Alligator mississippiensis: one gene and its partner. The protein of the gene in region 1 purifies or fractionates together with the protein of each later gene. This does not show direct contact. Links are inferred from orthologs where the notes say so. Each region holds a gene or a part of one and is shown in the gene's direction. Other genes may lie near its edges. The genes, in order: RPS6KA3 and FGFR2.

What was found.
Region 2: the proteins of RPS6KA3 (region 1) and FGFR2 purify together in Homo sapiens (affinity purification with mass spectrometry; 3 studies listed by BioGRID and IntAct, counting the BioPlex papers as one, with this or other methods). This does not show direct contact. The link is inferred for Alligator mississippiensis from reciprocal best matches to the Homo sapiens genes RPS6KA3 and FGFR2.

What each region holds. Positions count from the first base shown.
Region 1 is NC_081824.1:318,755,219-318,764,579, forward strand, and holds the start of RPS6KA3 (ribosomal protein S6 kinase alpha-3), read left to right. Parts: upstream 1-4,830; 5' UTR 4,831-4,997; coding exon 4,998-5,069; intron 5,070-9,361. UniProt on the Homo sapiens protein: Serine/threonine-protein kinase that acts downstream of ERK (MAPK1/ERK2 and MAPK3/ERK1) signaling and mediates mitogenic and stress-induced activation of the transcription factors CREB1, ETV1/ER81 and NR4A1/NUR77, regulates translation through RPS6 and EIF4B phosphorylation, and mediates cellular proliferation, survival, and differentiation by modulating mTOR signaling and repressing pro-apoptotic function of BAD and DAPK1.
Region 2 is NC_081829.1:85,690,181-85,700,147, forward strand, and holds the start of FGFR2 (fibroblast growth factor receptor 2), read left to right. Parts: upstream 1-6,290; 5' UTR 6,291-6,375; intron 6,376-9,967. UniProt on the Homo sapiens protein: Tyrosine-protein kinase that acts as a cell-surface receptor for fibroblast growth factors and plays an essential role in the regulation of cell proliferation, differentiation, migration and apoptosis, and in the regulation of embryonic development.

The sequences.
Region 1 (9,361 bases):
GCTGCTCCTCATCGCTGAGGTTTCTGACAACTTTCCAAACGTTAATAACCATAACCTTGCAACATCCCTATGAGACAGGGAAGTATCATCCCCATTGTATCCACCTTAGAACTGAGGCACAAAGAGAGACTAATTCTCATTTCCACCAAGGCCCCTAAAAACTGCTGTGACAGCATAAATTTAAATCCCTCTAACTCTCACTTCAAGACACACTGTTAAGAGCAGCCTAAAGCAGCTTTAATGTAAATGAGAAACTGGGTTAAGAAAAAAAATAATGACTTGCCTCATATCACAAAGGACAACTGTGCATAAGAATTGAATCAAGGTGTCCTGAGAGTAAGACAGACTTCCCCAAACAGTGTAAATCTAATAGAGTCTATTGTCAACTTCCACTTCAATCCTTTTAGCATTTTTCCCATAGAAACAAATTTATTCCCAGCTTTCATCCACAGACTATGGAATGATAATTTCTGTACATTTAAATTCTATCAAGAGTTTCTTGCCTGAGATAATAAAAACCATTGAAAGATATTTGAATTCACTATACATCACTCCAGTTGCAATATCTGAACAACTGAAATTTATTTAGTATTGTAATTTATTTACTTCTTCCTGTCTTACACTTACGAAGCTGTAAGTTATGATGGAGTATGAACTGTAGTGCAACTACAGTTGCATCTAGTGTAGTACTATATGCTTTATAAAAAAGTAAGTTTGAGTGATTACTCTATAAATACTGGAGGAACTTTTCTATTTATATTTTTTAATGTATTTTCCCAAATATTATCACAGGAACCCCCAAAAATATATTCTCTTTAACAGCCTTGTGAGAGAGTCAAGAAGTGTTTTATAAATGTAGCACTATGCTCAGTGGAGGCAGGCTTCTAACCAGGGTGCAATAACCTGAAGTTTTGCCTTTGACTGTAATGAAACTATAATTTCATCCCAGTCTCTCTCTTCCTCCTTGGAGGTACGGCTAGAGTTTTCCAACAAAGACCTCCTTGAATTTATATGTAACTATTATGCTCATTGGTTTTGTTTAAAATATTACTATAAATGAGAATACAAACCACCCTATTCATAGCAGATGTAGCACTAAACATCACCAAAGTGTCAATACTGCCTTACTGCAGTATTCTGTGTCACTGACCATCAGTTAGGTCCCACTCCTTCATCTGCAAGAGTAGAAATAGACAAGTGAGCCATCTAGCAAGTCACTGCCTACCCTCAGTGCAAGATGGCATTGTAGCTTTACTATGGCTGAAGTACCAAAAATGGTGAAGACTTGGTACTTTACATCACGTTGCAATTAATGTTTCTTACATGAAGGTAACCGTACCAGAATACTACCATTTCCATTCCATGGTATTTTCTACATAATACTTGTGAACGCCTCTATGTCAAAATAAAGTACCTAAATTATACAAGGGAGGGAGATGAGGTAGGTAGAGAATGTGACTTACATCATTCTGCTTCTTGTTTGTTGTTGCAGCAGGTAATTTCAGTCTCATAAACTTGCAAATAGTGGTAGTTAGTTGTACTTTCTGCCTTAAAATTGCAAAGAATGGGTGGACAGAAATGTGTTCAAATGAAATGGCAACTGAATATACTTTATAAAAATGGTCTGTGTGAATACAATGCTGTTGCAGATTTTTGCATCAAGAACTGGACCAACAGTAATGAGGTAAGGTGATGGTTTAAATGGCTGTTGTTGCACTGATCTTGTGAGAAAACAATCAAGGCATGATATATAGTTCTGTATTGTTTATTGCTGTTATACCCATTAGTACTTGATATCCTGTTCTTTGTCTTTTTTCTTCTGGATTCACAAAGCATAGAAAAAAGTAAACATGTTGGTAAACCACTGTCTTAGGACACAACTGACTAGACATGCTACTCTCCTCCCTCTCCTTCCTCCTACCCAGACCTCCTTCAAATTGTGAGCTCAGTTTAGGCCAGATGCCAATGGAAGAGGGGAAATGCCAAAGTGTATAGGAGACTGTCAACTCTACATGGCAAGATAGTCTTTGCTAGTTGATCAGCCTGAAAGAGGGGTTGGGTTTTTTTTAGGTTTCACCACATATGAGCTGAGGTGGCAGCTGTAGCTCCTGCTAACTTTTCTCTCATGGGTTGGAATTCTCTGCTGTGTGGCTGTGGATTTCCAGTATAAATAAAGTATTTACACCAGTATAAATAAATATTTACACCAGTATAAATAAAGTAGCTGTAATAAACCAAATTATTCCAGTATATAGGAAAAGAAATGCCTTTCAATAATACATTTAAAACTAGGGAGGGAGGAGTTTGCTCGCTTTTTGAAGATACAGGTGTTATCTCACCCTGGAGATGGGAAGTATTTATTTGTGTTTCAAAGATATTTACAATCACTCTATATTTCAACAGTCTACTCACTGTTCCAGTAGCCAACCTTAAAAAGGAAGGCTTGAGATTGTTAGTGTTCTGGTCAGTTTCTAAGAAACATTCCTCATGATGTACCTAAGCTTAATTACTGTCAAACATTAGTGATTTATTTCTCTTTTCCATTACCTTATCCTGTACTTCAGAGCAATAGTTGGCCAGAGTCAGTCTCTTCCTATTCTAAAAGCAGGGTTCTAGGCAGAAATAAGGGTTTTGTTCGTTAACAAAAATAATCTAATTCTTGTCTGCTTTAGACCTTTCCATAGTCACTTACTTGTGTGTGAAGGCAAAGCATTTGAAAAATGCTACCAAATAGAAGTGTAAGCACATTATACTCAGTATGGTCATATCAGGCCGCATAATCAGCTAAAAGTCAAAGATTATTTTAAGCTGAAGTTGATAGTCAGGGGATAAAACATGTGTGACATCCATTCCCTACACCCTATGAAAATCTGGGAAGACTTTTAAATAACTTGAACTTGCTGGAAATAAACTACTAGTTAAAGTGTAATATTGTTGATCAAATTGTCGTTCAAAGCATTTTTTTCTTTTAAAAATTACTTGTCATTACTCTCATTTCCCTCCCCTTTATTTGCCTAATCAGTAATCACCATTTCCTTCTATCTAGTGATATCTTTTCCTCCCAGTCCTTCCTTTACTCTAACTGCACAATATTTTTCACTTGACTCTTCTCTTAAAAACCCCTTCTTGTCTCTTCCTCTTACATTTGCCTAAGCTTTGGCTGAGTATGCAAGCTGTCTAAGGAGAGTCTAGGAATTTCTAGGTTGTCTATATTAGGATTTTCTGCACTGGTTGTGCAGAAGAGCATAGATGTGTAAGCAAAGGTGTATGAATTGGCTACAAGTGCTACATGATCACAGATGTGTCTGTTACTGTCAGCCAAAGCACAGTTAGTAGAAGTGCTGAACAAAGTTTGCAAAGCCTAGAAACACAGGACTGATTTAATCAGGGGCTGAGTCATCAGAGATATGACTGACATCAAAGCAGGCTTGGGGACAGTCATTTACACAGGAGGCTTAAATGGGAATCAATGGCAATTAGCCACGATTGTTCTCAGGCAAAGTTCTAATTCGGACACTTCTCAGGCACTTAATGCTGGACATTGAGTTTGGTTGACTATCATGTTTGGATCTGACCTGGCACAAAAATACTCTGATACAAATCAACCCAGTTGTGTGTTTTAGCCCAAGAGGAGGATTACAGGCACCAAAGGGGTCTTTTACACAGGAAGCTATTCCTGATGGACTTACTTTATAGAGGTGCCTTTTCCAGAAAAGAAGAGGACCCACACAGGGAATTAACCAGGAAGAGCTACTTCACTTCAAACCTATGCCCTCCCTTAGTCCCAGTAAGCTTCACTGTGCAGAGGAGCCATTAGCTTTCCTGAGGAAATCTTGTGGAGGTAAGAACCAGTCACTCAGAAGCAACACAAGGGGTCTGACTGACTTGCTCCCTGCAAAGGCTGACCAAAAACATCCACTCCCCACAATGACGGCAGGCAGAGAAGTTCACAGCTGACCTGGGGCTCTAGCTGTGCCCCTTATGGATCTGGCTACTCCACCCAGTTGTGGGCTCACATCAGCAAATTGGGCCACAGAGAAAGAAACACAGTCAGCAAATGGAAATATCTCTAGTGCTCCGTTTGGACAAGGCAAGGCTGCTGTCTGTGCCCCCCTACCTACATGCCTCTGAGCATAGGCTTAGGCTGCGCTAATGCTGGGAGTTTTAACGCTTTTTTCTCTGAAAGTGTGGTGTTAGAGGGGTGTCATGGTAGCTTCCAAGGGGTGTCACGGTAGTGTTAAGGGTGGTGTCGGAGGGGGGTCATGGTATCATCATGGTAGTGTTGGAGGGGTGTGATGGTAGCATAAGGGAGGTGGCAGAGGGGTGTCATGGTAGTGTCATGGTAGCATTAGAGGGGTGTCATGATAGTGTAAGGGGAGTGCTGGAGGGGTGTCACAGTAGCCTAAGGGTAGTGGCAACTCTGATGGCCCACAAATGACTTGAGGAGAGGCAACGTCCGGCAGGCTGCCTGTCTTTTGCCCAACCGGACTGACTAGGAGTAACAACTACCAGGCGACTTTAAGGACCGCCCCAGGCGGGGCTGGGCGGAACCGGACACACTCGGACCCTGCGCGAGCGGTGTGCACACAGCCAGCAACGCCTCTCCCCGCCCCCACAGGACGCCCCGGGCCCCTCCCCCCACCCCCGCCCACGCAGGAACGGAACTCCCCCCGCCCCCCTACTGCCCGCCACTGACTCCGCCCCCCGCTACCTGCCGGCGTCGCGGATTGGCCGCTACAGCCCCGCCCCGCTGCTGACGTGCACAGCCTCGGTTTGACGGGCAGGTATGGCCCGGGCGCCATGTTGGTGAGCGGGAGCGGGAGCGGGAGCGGAAGCGGTGCGGGGGGAGGGCGGCTCTGCCTGGCAGGAGCGGGACGCGGCGGTAGCAGTGGGACCCGCAGCCGGGGCCGGGGCAGCCCGCGGTCTTGCCCGCTCCTCCCCTGCCGTGTCTTCGTGCTCGGCCGGTTGGGAGCCGGGGCGCGCGGGCGGGCGGGAAGATGCCGCTGGCGCAGCTGGCGGACCCCTGGCAGAAGATGGCTGTGGAGAGCGCGGCCGAGAGCGGAGCCGAGGTACCGCCCCCCCCTTGTGTCCGTGTGTGTCCCGCTCCCCTCCTCTTTCTCTTGACCCTGCGCCCGCACTTCCCGCCGGGCCCCCGCGCCGGACGAGGGGGAGCGCCCCTTGCCGCCAGCCCGTGGGGAGTGGGGCCGCGCGGACTTAGTAACGTGAAGCCGCGGGGCTGGGGCTGGGGCCGGGGCCGGGGCCGGGCGGCGCTGGAGGTGCCCCTATTCTGCCTCGCGCCCAGACTTGGCGGCGCTCCAAGCCCTTCCGGCTCGGGAGGCTGGGGAGAGGTTTCTCCCCCGGCTCGCCGCTGTCCTTGGGTTACTTCAGAGGAGACGGCTTCGTTGGCTGGCAGGCGGATCTGCTGTTCCCGTTTCTCAAGCCTAGTTTAAAGTACCTGTCTGTCACTCTCGGGGTGTTTTCTCCCCGCACGGGAGTGGGGTAAAATTTTCCAGCTGAAAGGTAACTGCTGGGAGCGCTGGGGAAACCGCTCTTTATGTCTGGTGAAGACTTAGAGTTGGTGAAGAGTCGTTTTAATCTCCCTCGTGTAGGGTGGTCCTTTTGACTGGAAACCAGTTTGCCTCTAGCATATATGTGAAATTTGTGGGCATATTTTAGAAACGCACCTTGCAAAAGGAGAACAAGGTTCTTTGGGTGAATCTGATATCTTTTATTAAACCAAGTGTGTGTGTGTGTGTGTGTGTGTGTGTGTAATAAAACTTTTACAAAAGGATACATTATATATCTACACACACACGTAATATGTACATGTATATAAAATCAGTTTTAAAGGCCAATGGGACTATACTGATTTGCAACAATGGAGAAGATTTAGTATACTAAATTTATTTCTAGTATTCCATCTTTTAAAATTGCTACCCCGTAATTTCATATTATATTAATTGTCAAGACTTGTATGTATATACGTACATACATGTGTGTGTATATGTACAAATGTATCCTTTTGTAAGAGTTGTTTCTAGAACTTGCCCACATCCTCAATCCTAAATTCAAAATATGCTCTGTTTTTAAAGATTTGACATTCTTCTCTTTTTTTAATAGAAAATGCCTGTAACAATTCCTTGAATTCAGTATATCCTGCTGTTTCTTGACTTGATTGATTGATTGATTGATTTTCCAAATGCTCAGGTTAATCAAGGACCTCAACCAGTGACCTAAATACTTACTCCATGTTTTCAGTTCCCACAAATTAACCTTTATCAGGGGCACTGTGCACTTCTAATTGCAGCATCAGAGCCATGGTCAAGGCTTCTACGTGAAAAACATAAGAAGTGCCATACTAGGCCACTAGCCTGTCTCCAACACTGGCAAAAGCTGATGCCTTAGAGCAGTAGTTGTCAACCCCAGGTGCCACAGGAAGTATAGGAAGATAAGCAGGTAAGGGCAGGCTGAGGCCCTCCCTGCGTGGCTGTTCCCCCCACCTCGATTGCATGGCCCTGCTGCAAGGACATAAACACTGTAATAAATACACTAGTTTTTGAAATGGTGTGCTGCAAAATTCTTGAAGCTATGAGGGTTGCCTCAAGTGTAGCAGGGTTGGGAGCCACTCCTTTAGAGCAGCGGTTTTCAACCTTTTTTTTGTTGTACCAGGACCCATTTGTAAATATCAATGGCCTGTCCCGACCTAGTGCTTCTCACTCCTGACCCACTAGCCCCAGCCCCCCAGTGTGTGGGGCAAGGGGGTGGGGTGGGGGCCCCAAGCAGCCCTTTGCAGGCTATAACTCTGGCAGCCTGCAAGGGGAATGCCACCATTATTCACACTTTTCTCCTTTAAAGGAAAATAATTTTTAAAGTTTGTTCATGACCCTTTCATATATTCTTGTGACCCCTTTTGAGTAATGCTGCTTTAGAGGAAGAATGAACTGGGCATATCTAGAGTGATCCATGCCCTATTCATCACACTCCCTAGCATCCACCATCCTTGGTTTAGAGATGCCAGAGGATCCATCTCTGACTGCTCTGTTTAACAGCTATTAATAGATTTATTGTCCATGAATTTTTGATCCTGCCTGAGCTGTATGCCTCTACAAACTTGTGGTAGATTTTTGGCCCCTGTGGAGCAACATTATGATTTGGCCTCTGTAGAGGTACATGAACTCTCTCATTAACAACTTTTGTAAAACACCACTGATGTCTCAATAAACTTACTATTTCATAGAGATGCACTAAGTCCTAAAGTATTCAGGTCTGGACATTTGTACTGATAGAGGTCCCTGCGGTATAAACTGATTCATGCAGGCCAAGGTGCTGTTCCAATGAATTAGTAATAGCAGACCTTTCTCTTGCTTTAAATTATACCATTACTGTGGATAGTGGTTCTTCTTCTAAGAGGAAATATATACAACTGAAAAAGCTTGCAATACAAGCATAAATTTATACAGTATCAAAGATGAACTCCTAGGTTGATTTTTTTTCTACAGCAAGTAATAAAGCAGGGCGCACTGATCTTGTTTATGGTCTTGGCGGCTATATGATATGAAATTCTGGGGTAGCAATTTTTAAAGAAGCGCTATTAGAAATAATTTGGTATACTAAATGTTCTCCATTGTTGCAAATCAGTATAGTCCCATTAGCCTTCAAAGCTGTGATAATTGACATCACCTTAGGTTTTGCCTCAAGTTCCTTAACTGGTATCTGTCTTAAAAAGCAGGGTTTATAGTGCAGATGCTGCATGTGTGAAATAGGCAAAGTGGTAAAAAACTTCAAATATTGGCATATAACTATAGGCATGTAAGTTCATATTTTAGAAACCTTATTTTTTCAGAAACATTATGCTTCTAGCATTGGTCTTTACTAGCCAACATCAGGGGTTTAAATATGGGTTTGTGTGTCTAGCTGTGTGTGTCACTGAGGTTATGAATACTAAAGCAACTGAGATGAAGAGGAACAGTCATAGCATTGTTATGTTAAAGATGTACCTGGTATGGTGTGGTTCTGGTGCTTATGGCTCTGTCTTGCTAATATTTGTGCGTGTCTTTAACTTGAAATTTGGTCGTGCTGAAAGCAAGGTTGATTCAATGCACTGACAGGATTGGGTCTGGGATTGATGACAGGATTGCCATCTGAAGTAGTCATGTTCTGGGTGTAATTACCTCTGAACTTATTTTGCATATGGTGTACTTCTGGGGAATAAGCTGAAGGAACAGACATCACATCTGCAACACAACTTAAAGCAGGGGAAAGGACAGAAAATATCAGTAGAATTGTCTAAATGAAATGTGTCTGTTAACTTTGAAGGTTATTCAATACTTTACCAGCTGGGTATGATACTAAGGGTTTTCAAAACACTGTTGTCAGTACATTTACCATAGCTCTAGAAGTTTGTTCCCATGTGATATTTGTGGAGTTTGCTTCTTGCATACAGATTTATGTCAAATGAAACTTCTTTTAGTGTGGTTCGCTTCACTTTATTATAATAATTTTCTGTATATTATACATCAGTAATCTGATGCATAATATATAGTATACATCTATTCCAGTGAGATGAGCTTGTTGAAGAAAGGCTTATGGATTTTGATTCTATCAGTAAAACAGATGTCATAGCTATGTGAATGCTGGTTTAGGAAATATACTCATCTGGAAAGAAAAATACTGAAGCACTTTACTGTAATTTTACTTGGGTGGTAAGGGGTAAAAAGTCCTGTTTCAATTAACCAAATTTTTGGTAAACATAAAATCTGCCATCCATTTAGTATTTCATGCAAGTGATTTCATTCTTCTGTTTTTTAATTTACTAACATTATTGTACACTTTGTAGTACCATGATTCTCTTTCATATGCAGAATACAAAATAGGGTTTATCAAATTACTCCCTTAGTTACAGTGTAACACAGGTAGTTTTAAATTTGTCAATGTTTAACTGCCTTAAAGTTCCTAAGTAGTATTTTTCTTCCCAGATTGATTTCCAGCATGAAATAGATGGTATTCTGAGCTGTTTACAGGAATATTTTTCTTTGCTGTGACTGTGATCTGTCATACTAACTGAAGAACAGTTTTCATTTGAAGAAGTTTAATACAGCATAGCTAGGTTTGTGGCTCTGGGATCCTGGTATAGAAAGTCTTAAACCCCTAGCCCTGGAATTTAGTTGGGTGGTATTTAAAAGTCCATCTAGGTCAGGGGTCAGCATCCCATGTCTTGTGGGCCAGAACTAGCCCACCAAGCAATTTCATCTGACATGTGAAGCCCAGATAACTGGCATTTTGGCAGCAATGGGATTCTGCAGTGGTTAGTAGTAGCTGGATTCCATGGACATCAGCAGTGAACTGGTAGTGGCTGTGTAGG
Region 2 (9,967 bases), on another chromosome or scaffold:
CACCACTTAGGCAATCTGCAGCAGGGGCAGGTGGGAGCGCTGGTGTCCCCTCTGCAAGTGCCAGCTGGGAAGTGGAGCACCATTGTGTTCCCGGAAGCAGCCACAATGATCAGCCATCTCATGATCGTCTGGGGGGGGAACCCCCCCCAGTCAGTGGGATTGGCCACAGGGGGATCCCCTCAGTTGCTGACTGGTCGCTCGGGAGGCACGTGCCCCCCTCCCCCCAACTAAGGCCACACTAGTCGCCCATGACTATGTACTGGTTTGATGTTTGGAAGAAACTGCAGATTTATTTAAGTAAATCAAGTCACTGCTAGTAATTAAATATTCAATCTTAACAATTAGTTTAGAAATCTTTCATAAACAGAGATAAACAAGCTATATTAGTTATTAGGGGTGCGCAAAATGGGTCATATTTGATTCAGATTTGGCCTGAATCAGGGACAGTGATTCAATTCATTGATTCAAATCACTGATCCCAATTCGATTAGGCTGAATCTGAATCTGAAGATTTGATGCTGATTCGGAGAACTGGCGATTCGGCCATAGATACAGCTTTAAATGTTGTGTACATACCTGGTATCTTGAGGTATGCAGAAAAAACCTTTAAAGCTGTGTCTATATCCGAATTGCTGAATCTTTCTGAATCTCTCCGAATTGACGGCCAGTGGCCATAAGTTGACTGAGGATAGATGCAGGCACTACTACATCAGGAGGCACTACTTCATAGTCAGGGTGGCTAGGATCTGGAACCAACTTCCAAGGGAAGTGCTGCTCGCTCCTACCCTGGGGGCCTTCAAAAGGAGGCTAGATAATCACCTAGCCGGGGTCGTTTGACCCCAGCACTCTTTCCTGCTCAGGGCAGGGGGTCGGACTTGATGATCTGTTCAGGTCCCTTCTGACCCTGCCTACTATGAAACTATGATTTGATTCAGAGAGTTTAAAGGGTCTCCTGATTTGATTTGGATTTGGAGATTCAGCCACTGAATTGGGCCGAATCTCCAACAAATCGAATCAGGGACCGAAGCTTTGCACAGCCCTATTAGTTATGTCATACAGGCCATATGTATCCATTCCTCTATAAGAGTGTTTTTTGAGCTTGCTTCATTTGCAGACCCCTAAAAACTTTTGAATGGAGGTGTAGACCCATTTGAATTGTAAATTTGGGTATTCACATACTTTTGATTGATCATAGTTATCTTTCATGAACCACTTATACATAGTCTGCAGACCATCAGGGGTCCACACACTACAGCTTGAAAAGCACTGCTCTATATTGTTTTTTTCTGTTTGGTTTTGATTCAGAAAATTTTCCAAAAAACCTGAAGATAAGTGTGTGGGATGGTAGTGCCATGAATGACCTTCACTATGCCTTGGCTCACTATCAGAACACTTTTTAATAAAAAGCCAGAGACATTAACACTGAAGGCACAAGGTAACAATATGTCACCAAAAAAAGTTAATTGCAAAACTCCTGTTAACTTGGACAGAACCAGGATTTCATCCACAATTATAGTCAGCAGAGCCTCATGTGGGATAATCTTTAATAAAGAACAGTTGTAACAGTTCCTTTGAGTGCATTCATTTAAAGTATTTTTTTTCCAGGATCTGTGGAGATTTTGGGGACACAAAGTGGGATCTTTGTGTTTGGAATATTTCTCACCTGTTGTGGGCACTGAGGGCAAACAATAATACTCTGTCTTCGATTACCATTGGACAAGCCAATATAATGGGAATAGGATCAGACCCACAGTGAAGATGGTGGCAAAATTCCCACTGATCTCATTGGGAGCTGGATCATGGTGTATATGCTCTTTAAGATATTTGTGGGAAAAATGCCTACTGTAAAAAAGGGAAGAGAAGAATGAAGAATAGCATGAGTTTCAAAATGGTTTTGTGGTTTAAATGAAGCCAGGTCCAAAACCTACTGAATAAATAGAAACCCCTTGGTCACCTTTTCTCCTTGGTTTGTCTAAAGCTGTACATACTTTTGCATTTTTCAGAATTATTATTTCAATTAATTATTCATCTTAGAAAATACCCCTTCATCTGATTCTACACTTGAGTCAGATCTCCTAAGTGTGCTGCTACTTATGAATAAGATGCTGGAGTTTAAGTCAGAAAATAAATGTATTCATGTTCCACAAGTGTCTTTGTATTTCCTTCCACGACATCCTCCTTCAACTAATTCACAAAACCACTGTTCTTGTCCTCCTTCAGTCCAAAATTGAGATAGCTTATGTTGCATCATCCACGGGAAATCAGCCAAAAAATGACATGAACTCTTCAGAGCCATCTTTCTGTGGCTTGTAGAGTGTAGAATAAGAGGGACATGATCCTGATGGAGTCTCTGGATGTTGCTGTAGTACAAAGTATATAATGAGCCTCTGCAACTTCCAGCATCTCACAAATACTAGACACGAGTTTCTGAAAATATCCATGGAGTGGAAGGTTGTGAAAAATAAATTATGTTTTGGATTTGAAATGTATTGTGGAAAAGGTTGAGATTATTTAAAAAAAAAAATGCTCCTAATAAAAGAGAGAGGATAGTTTGATGGTTCCCAAAAGTGGTACTAAGTTAATGATTCTCAAATTTTTTAGTCACATACCCCCTTTTTTTTTAAGTTTGTTCTACATGCCCCCAATTCCATGCTATGGATAATAATAATAATAATAATAATAATAATAATAAGATGACATAACATTTTATGTCACTATAATAACCACACTGTAACATAAGAGCAACATGAGAGATATTGTAGAATTGATTTTTTTTTCCTGCCCCCTCCCTTGTCCTTCATTTATTTTCTCTTTCCCCTCTTTGCTTTCCCATTTCTTCCTCACATGTTCCCTCTCAAAGTTTTTCTTGTTGCCCAGTTTGAGAATCACTTATCTAGTGATTATCTAGTGAAGTTGTTATCGTCTGACAGATATTTGCAGTTTACATAACCTGACTTTGGTCTCAGGCCAATTTTCAGTTGACAGATGTGTAATACGCAACAGCAGGCAGCTGAAAAGCTCAGGAGTGATTGAAAATGGAGGGTAAGACATGTAGAGGGTGCCCCCTGTGTCTGGTCTGAGTGTGGCTGGTGGGGCAGGATGGAGAGGTTTGCTGTGCACTGGTCAAAGTTTTTTCAGTCCTCTGGACAACAAGAAAAGACGTTCAGTCTTTGGGGCTTTCAGGAAAGCAGTCTTTGCAAGCACTAAACTCACATGAAATTATAAGGGATAACACCCTTTCTCTGGAAATGTCCCGAGTAGCATTCAAAAAGCAAAGATTGGATTAATATGCCCTTCACAAGGCAATGAGCATAAAGAATACAGACTCCCGAGAAAACGATTGCTTAGGATTTTCAAAAGAACTTGCTAGAAGCCACAATGCATTTTGGAAGGAACAGGGATCATATTTCAGACTTGGATTTTAAACACACGTTGTGACAGCCCATGGCAGACATGCCAGGAACTTCATTCCATAAATCACATTTCTTGAAAAGGAGGCCTCTGTACTCAGTAGTAGTAGCATTTATTTCTTCTTTTTCTTGGCTGCTTCTCTTGGAAGTGGTGTAAAGACTTAACCCTAGTTAGGAGGACCTGCAGAGACATAATGTAGTATGTGAGAGCTCCAACTTTTGCCTTGTTAAATGAAACTTAGTCTATATAAACACGATTGGAGGAAAAAAAAAAAAAAGACCCGGTAATGTTGCAAACATGGGGATTCAACAGTGTACTGTTTTCATTTAGTTTTTTTGGCAGCATTTTTAACAAGAATATGTTTTTGTGACTCTTGAATCAAACACATCATCTTGGATGGGCTACAGCAGCAATAAAAGCATCAAAATATCTCTATTTCTAGCAGAGGTTTTGCTGGAAACATCTTACCAGATATAGGATTAATAATGTATCCATAATAATATTTTAATAATTTGCTTAGAAATTGATTAATTCTAACTTTCCTTATTCCTTGGCTTAACCCTTTGGATTCTTGTTTTCTCAAACAGACATCCATTATATATAACACTAGATATAGATATAGATATAGATGTGCGTGTGTGTGTCTGTATTACCTGCTGGCAATTGAACTCCTCTGTTTATTTATGGAGCAGGTCCATCAGGGCAAGGTGTATGCTATACTTCCTGACATTACCAAAGTACCAGGTCCTGTCCAGAAGACTGTTCTGCAAAGGAGCGGAGATGGCCACAGTTTGGTTTTCATGCCTATTCATTCACAGGAAGAGATAACAGGAAAAGTTCCTCTGAGTCCAAGTCCAGTCCTGCTATCACAGGCAAACTACGCCATGCAGTTCCTTTTGTACATCTCTAAAACTGGATGGATATCTTGTTTCCACACCTCATACTGGCAGGCTCTTTCAGTCTGAAACCTTCTTCTCTAATGGTTTGAAACCTTCTTCTGGTCTCCAGCTAAATTTAGTCCTAGTCCATTTATTCTGACTGTGTAGTCCTTATCCCCGATGTAGTAACAGAAAACAGTTGTATCCCTTTACAGTTCTCATTTTGCTAAGATGAACAAGGCAGGCACTTTTGTTTTCCCCTCATATGGCAGATTCTCCTTAAGCCCCAGCATCCTAGGAACCCTTCTCTGCACCTGTCCCAGCTTGAGTTTATTTTCCTGAACACGAGTACCCAAAATCACACATGGCAGTCTAGATGAGGCCCCATCAGTGCCTTGGCATTAATAGGTCTTTGTTTCTGCTGAAAATCCACCATTTGATACATCTTCTATTGCCTCTTTTTCTCAGCCACATCACATTGACCACCTGTCACTGGGGAGTATTACCCAGATTTGTCTTCTCTTGTTGACCGTCTGTCCACTGGGATCTGGAGTGGAAGTGCCACTTTATTTCATGACATAAGCTACTCAGCAGGAATGGCTTGGAAAGTAACAATGGTTTGTGATTATTGATCCTGGGCTGGATTCAAAATGACTGAGAGAGGAAAAGCTCAGTGGGTGAGATCCTCTGCTCCACTTTAAACACTTTGTCATATTAAAGGGTCTAAAGTTATACAAAGTGGCCCTAACAGCCAAGATTTTAGTTGCGGTGAGGATTTGTCTCAGTGTAGGCACTATGAAAGACACCCTTAATTAAGGCTGCTCTTAGAGGACTTTTTCACATGCTGGGCTGGCAAGATAGAGGGAAACACACTGGAGACAGAAATGTATGTTCAAGCTGGGGCTGCAGTATGCAGCATGGTTCTGGTTCTGAGTAGTGCTTGTAGTGGCTCCTGTAATATAGATAAATGCCTGTGGGGGGTGCAAAGTATGCCAAGGACCTCTCCTACCCACTGGAACGTGCCTGGAACAACCCTTTTCCACCGGCCGTGAATTCTTAGAAGTGCAACAAAGCATCTCACCCAGCATCTCTACTAATTCTCAGAGCTGCTGGATCTCTCAGTTCTGTCTCTTTTTCCCTCTATAAATGTGTCTCAGTCTTTCATTCGTCACAGTGCTGGGCCAAGACGCACATCTTTTTTAAATAACATGGACCAGAAAATGTGGAAATTTTGAAGTCGTAGCTCCCTTGGAGAGAGCCAAAACATGTTTACTTTTTTATATTGTTTGATAATAAAGAGCAGAGCATGAAAACAAAATGCAGCTTTGTCAAGAATGTTGATTATATAAAAATCAATATGTAACTGGGGCGCTTACAACCGAACATATCCATTGTCCTTCTTGGTTTAAAACAAAAGGATTGCAGCAGCAAGACCTTGCTTAACTTGGGGTCAACTTCTAGTTGCAGCATGCAATAATAACAATCCAAGGTATGTACAATTTACAATACGGTATATGTACACTGGTATATACTCCAAGTAAAGATTCTGCTTTCATCAGTAAACCTTATCCTGGTTTCAAGGAGAGGTTAATTCTGGGGATGCAGATCATATCTGTCCTTGAGCCCATTAGTATGGCTATGCAGATGGCCATACCTTAACCCCCACTGTAGCCAAGATCTAACCCTCAAAAATCAACTACCTCTTTCCTTGCAGAAATCCAGAGGCCTCTCCCTACCCTTCACCCGAGAATCTGGGGGCTTTTCATATGTTAATCAGTAAACATTGTTGTAAATTCGATTGCTGCAATATATACAGGGAGATGGCTTGAAAGTATTGTTTTGCAGAGCATTACTCTGTGGTGTACAGTTCATCTTAAGGCACTCAGTGAGTTAACTTTGCATTGTGATATCATTTCTGAGTTACAAGTCAGCCTCTTTGTATGAATGCCACCCACACAATAGGAGAGAACTGTCAAGCTGCAACATGCAAGAGACACCTAGACACACCTATTGAAGCCATGCTTTGCCTGCCTTGGTGTGTTGCATTCCTTTAGCCTTCGCATATCGAATGGAAAAAAGCAATCAGGTACCGTACACTTTATTTGGAAATTTTCTCTGCCAAACGCAATAGACGTCCTCTGTACTGCAATGTATAGACAATCATAGGAACAGCATCTTTGTAGCACATTTTCCTGCCGATTCATAACTGCATACCGTACATCAGTTTGTATGTTATGCTCATGGTGAAAACAGCTGCTTGCATGTATATCTCGTGCCACAGTGTTTTGCCTTAGCATTTTGATTTAATCATACTTTATGCTATGTGTTTTATTTTATTAGCTGAGCAGTGGGAAATGCAAGGAAAATGTGGGTTTGATATTGTTTTTCTGTGCAAGTTCCAGATGGACAAATCCTTTAGTAACAGCACTGGGTTGAGCACTGTACTGGAAGCCGGGAACTACTTTGGTTTATTTCTGAAGCCGTCTTACATTTGCTGGGTGGCCTTGGACAAGCCATAACCCTGTGTTTGTTTCCTTAACTTCAGGATGAGAATAATACTTTTCTTCCTTATAAGGGTACTGGACAATTTAGTTTAAAAAAAAGTGTTGCTGAGGTATTTCACTCATACATGTATAGATGGAGTTAGAGGCATAATTATATTATTTGCTCCTGGGTGTTAAAGTCATACAAACAGGAGGGGAGATGGTATTTCAAAAAGCAGCAACTCCGACTGGAACATAGAGTCATGGTAGACAACCAGCTGCAGTTACAATCTGGTGCCTGAGAGAGCTAAAACACTTTTTGGAGATAAAACATGGGGAGGCAGAAGTAGGAAAGTGATAGTACTGCTGTACATGACATCAGTGAGACAGCTGCCAGAAACCTGTCCAAGTGTGGTTTCATTTTAAAAAGAGTATTGGCAAATTGGAAAGGTTTCAGTAAAGAGTTACCACAGTGATCTGGGTCCTGGGAAACCTGCCTTACAGTGACAACTAAAGAAGCTCAATTTGTTGAGTTTGTCTAAAAGCTGCCTATGTAAGGAAACTTGGGTACAGTAAGCTATGGTATGAATCTACAGTGCACAGGATACATTGAACTAACTCTTTGAGGACACCCTTAGTGGACATCAGACTATGTCACATGTTTCTGTGCAGACCAGCCCTTTGACAAAGTACTTTGATTGTGGTCTAAAAGGTACCTACACAGGAAAGAGACTTGTGATAGTAAATGGCTCAGTAGCATTGAAAAGACATAAGAAAACTAAAGTTGGTCAAACTTAGAATAGGAATTTGGAATAAAATTGGAGTAGGAATGAGGAATAAGGTTCATATTCCTGTTAGGATAATTGACTACTGGAACAGTTTATATAGGGAGGGGAAGGATTCTCTGTTGCTTAAAGTGTTAAATCTAGATTTAACATTTTTCTGAAAGAGACAGCTTGACCAGAAGTTAGTTGAGGTGGCAGCTACTGGAAGAAGTTTTTTGGGTTGTGTTATGCAGGAGGTCAAATTAGATGACTGAATTGAAACTTCTGGCCTGAAAAATCCATTAAAATACTAGGTTTAAGATGTTATAGTGAAGTATCACTTTCCATGATGGCTTGAATCTTTCACTTATGGTTTAGTTAAACCTCTTACATGAAGAAATGGGCAAATAAATACGGTATACTTGTGGTGAAAATAGATTTCCCAATTTGTAGTGTTTGTGATCACCCCTTCCCCCTTCCCATTTTCCCTAATTGCCTCTCTGTGAACTTAAATGTTCCTCACTTAGAAGGAATACACCACAAACTCCTCTAAAGCTTTCTGTCACCCTTTTCTTCCATCTTTCTCATATAGGAGGTTGGATCCCAGGTTGGATCTTAGTAAGGTATCATGGTGGACAGTAGGTCACTAGGATATGTCCTGGATAAAGTAGCATAGTCCAATATACTTCAGAACTCCATTCTGTTCATCCTCCTGCAGAAAATGTTTGTAGTCATGGAAGGCATCTTAACTGTGAACATATTTTCCTATTGCAAAATTTGTCCATGTGTTTAAGATTCAGAGGAATGCAAAACGATTTAATGCTAGTTTCTGCAAGTTATTTAGGGCATGAGGTTTTTTTGACTTCCTTGACTTTCTGTGTCATGTAGTATATACATACACTTTCTGAAAGTCACTATAGCTGCTGTAATGTAGACTTTGGCTGCAGTATTTTTACACTCCACCAAGTGCTAAACACCAGAATAGTCCTTGGAGCCATGAGCAACTTGATGGTTGGAAAGAACAGAGTTGAAAAACACAGTATGTTACTGAATGTCTGGAAACCTGTTTTGTGCCCAGGTGGCTTACAGCATTGTTAGGTTACAATTATGTGGGGAGGGAAATTTTTGACAGAAAAGGCCTGATTGTTATATGTATTTTTTTCTTCCTATAAACAGTGGCAATGCAAAGGGGTGCATGTGTGTGCATGTGCACCCCCTGAGATCAGCCGTGCACTCCCTGGAAGCACCAGCCACAAAACCGGAAGTGCCAGCAGAAGTTCACTTCCAGTTTTGCTGCTGGCTTGGCAATTGGCTGCTGGGGGGCCACCCCTGCTCCTGGTTCAGAGTCGGCTGCTGGGGGTCGGCAATTGGCCATGGGAGACACCCCCCTCATCGGTGATCTGGTGCCCCCCAGACTCAGGAGGCACCAGTCGCCCATGCCCATAGAAGTATAATTCTTTAGACTCTAAAGTGAAAATCATGATTCTTCCTCTGTGTGTATCTAATCAGTCATCTTATTACCTCTTAGGACAAACACTCCACTTTCTGTTGGTTTTTCTCATACAGTTGTCATGACCAGCTTCATGTACACTGTTGGGTGTTTCTACAGGGAAAATATGAAGACACATGAAACCCCTGTTTAAAATGTCCGTTTACTTTTTTTTCCTCTCTTATTAATGACAGTGGTGAGTGAATGTATACACTAGCTGTGAATTGTCAAATTTAATTGGGTTGTATATGAATGATGACTCTTGTTTTAATGCTCTGGAATTAGCTGATAGATAAGAAACTGCTTTCTGGTAATCTGTGATGGTTCTAGCATTTCCTGTGATACAAACTCTATGATACAGAAGTTTATTACTTCTACAAGCAAGTCTGATTAACCCTTAAACTTGTTCTCCTCTACTTAAGCCATGAGTCTACTTTAGTCATGTTGGCTGCTTACACACTTAAACCACCCCCACCCTCAAAAAAATCGCACTTTAAATTCAGCGCACCCCCAAGCCAAGCCCAGTTCATGCCCAGAAGAGGTGTCACATTAGTTGAACCCAGCTCACCCAACATCTGTATAAATCAGGTACTTCAGTGGAGCTTTTTTGGCATTTCTATCTAATAGCTGATTGAATCAGCTATTAGATAAAAGTGTCAAAAAGTCCTCATGAAGTATATGATCTATACAGATGCTGTGGAGCCAGGTTGAACTGATGTGCTGCCTCTTCTGGTAAAGCACTTTTTTGTCATCTCTGTCAGCAGCCATTATGCATGAGATATTATGTGGCTTGCTCATTTGTGAAGTGGAAATGTCAAAAAGCAATATTTTGTTTTCTAGATTAGTCCTAGGAAAGGGACCTTGTTCTTTAATATAAAGCAGTGATTATAAACCAGGGTGCCAGGCTACTCTGGGGTTCTGCAAAATCTTTTGAAGGGTGCT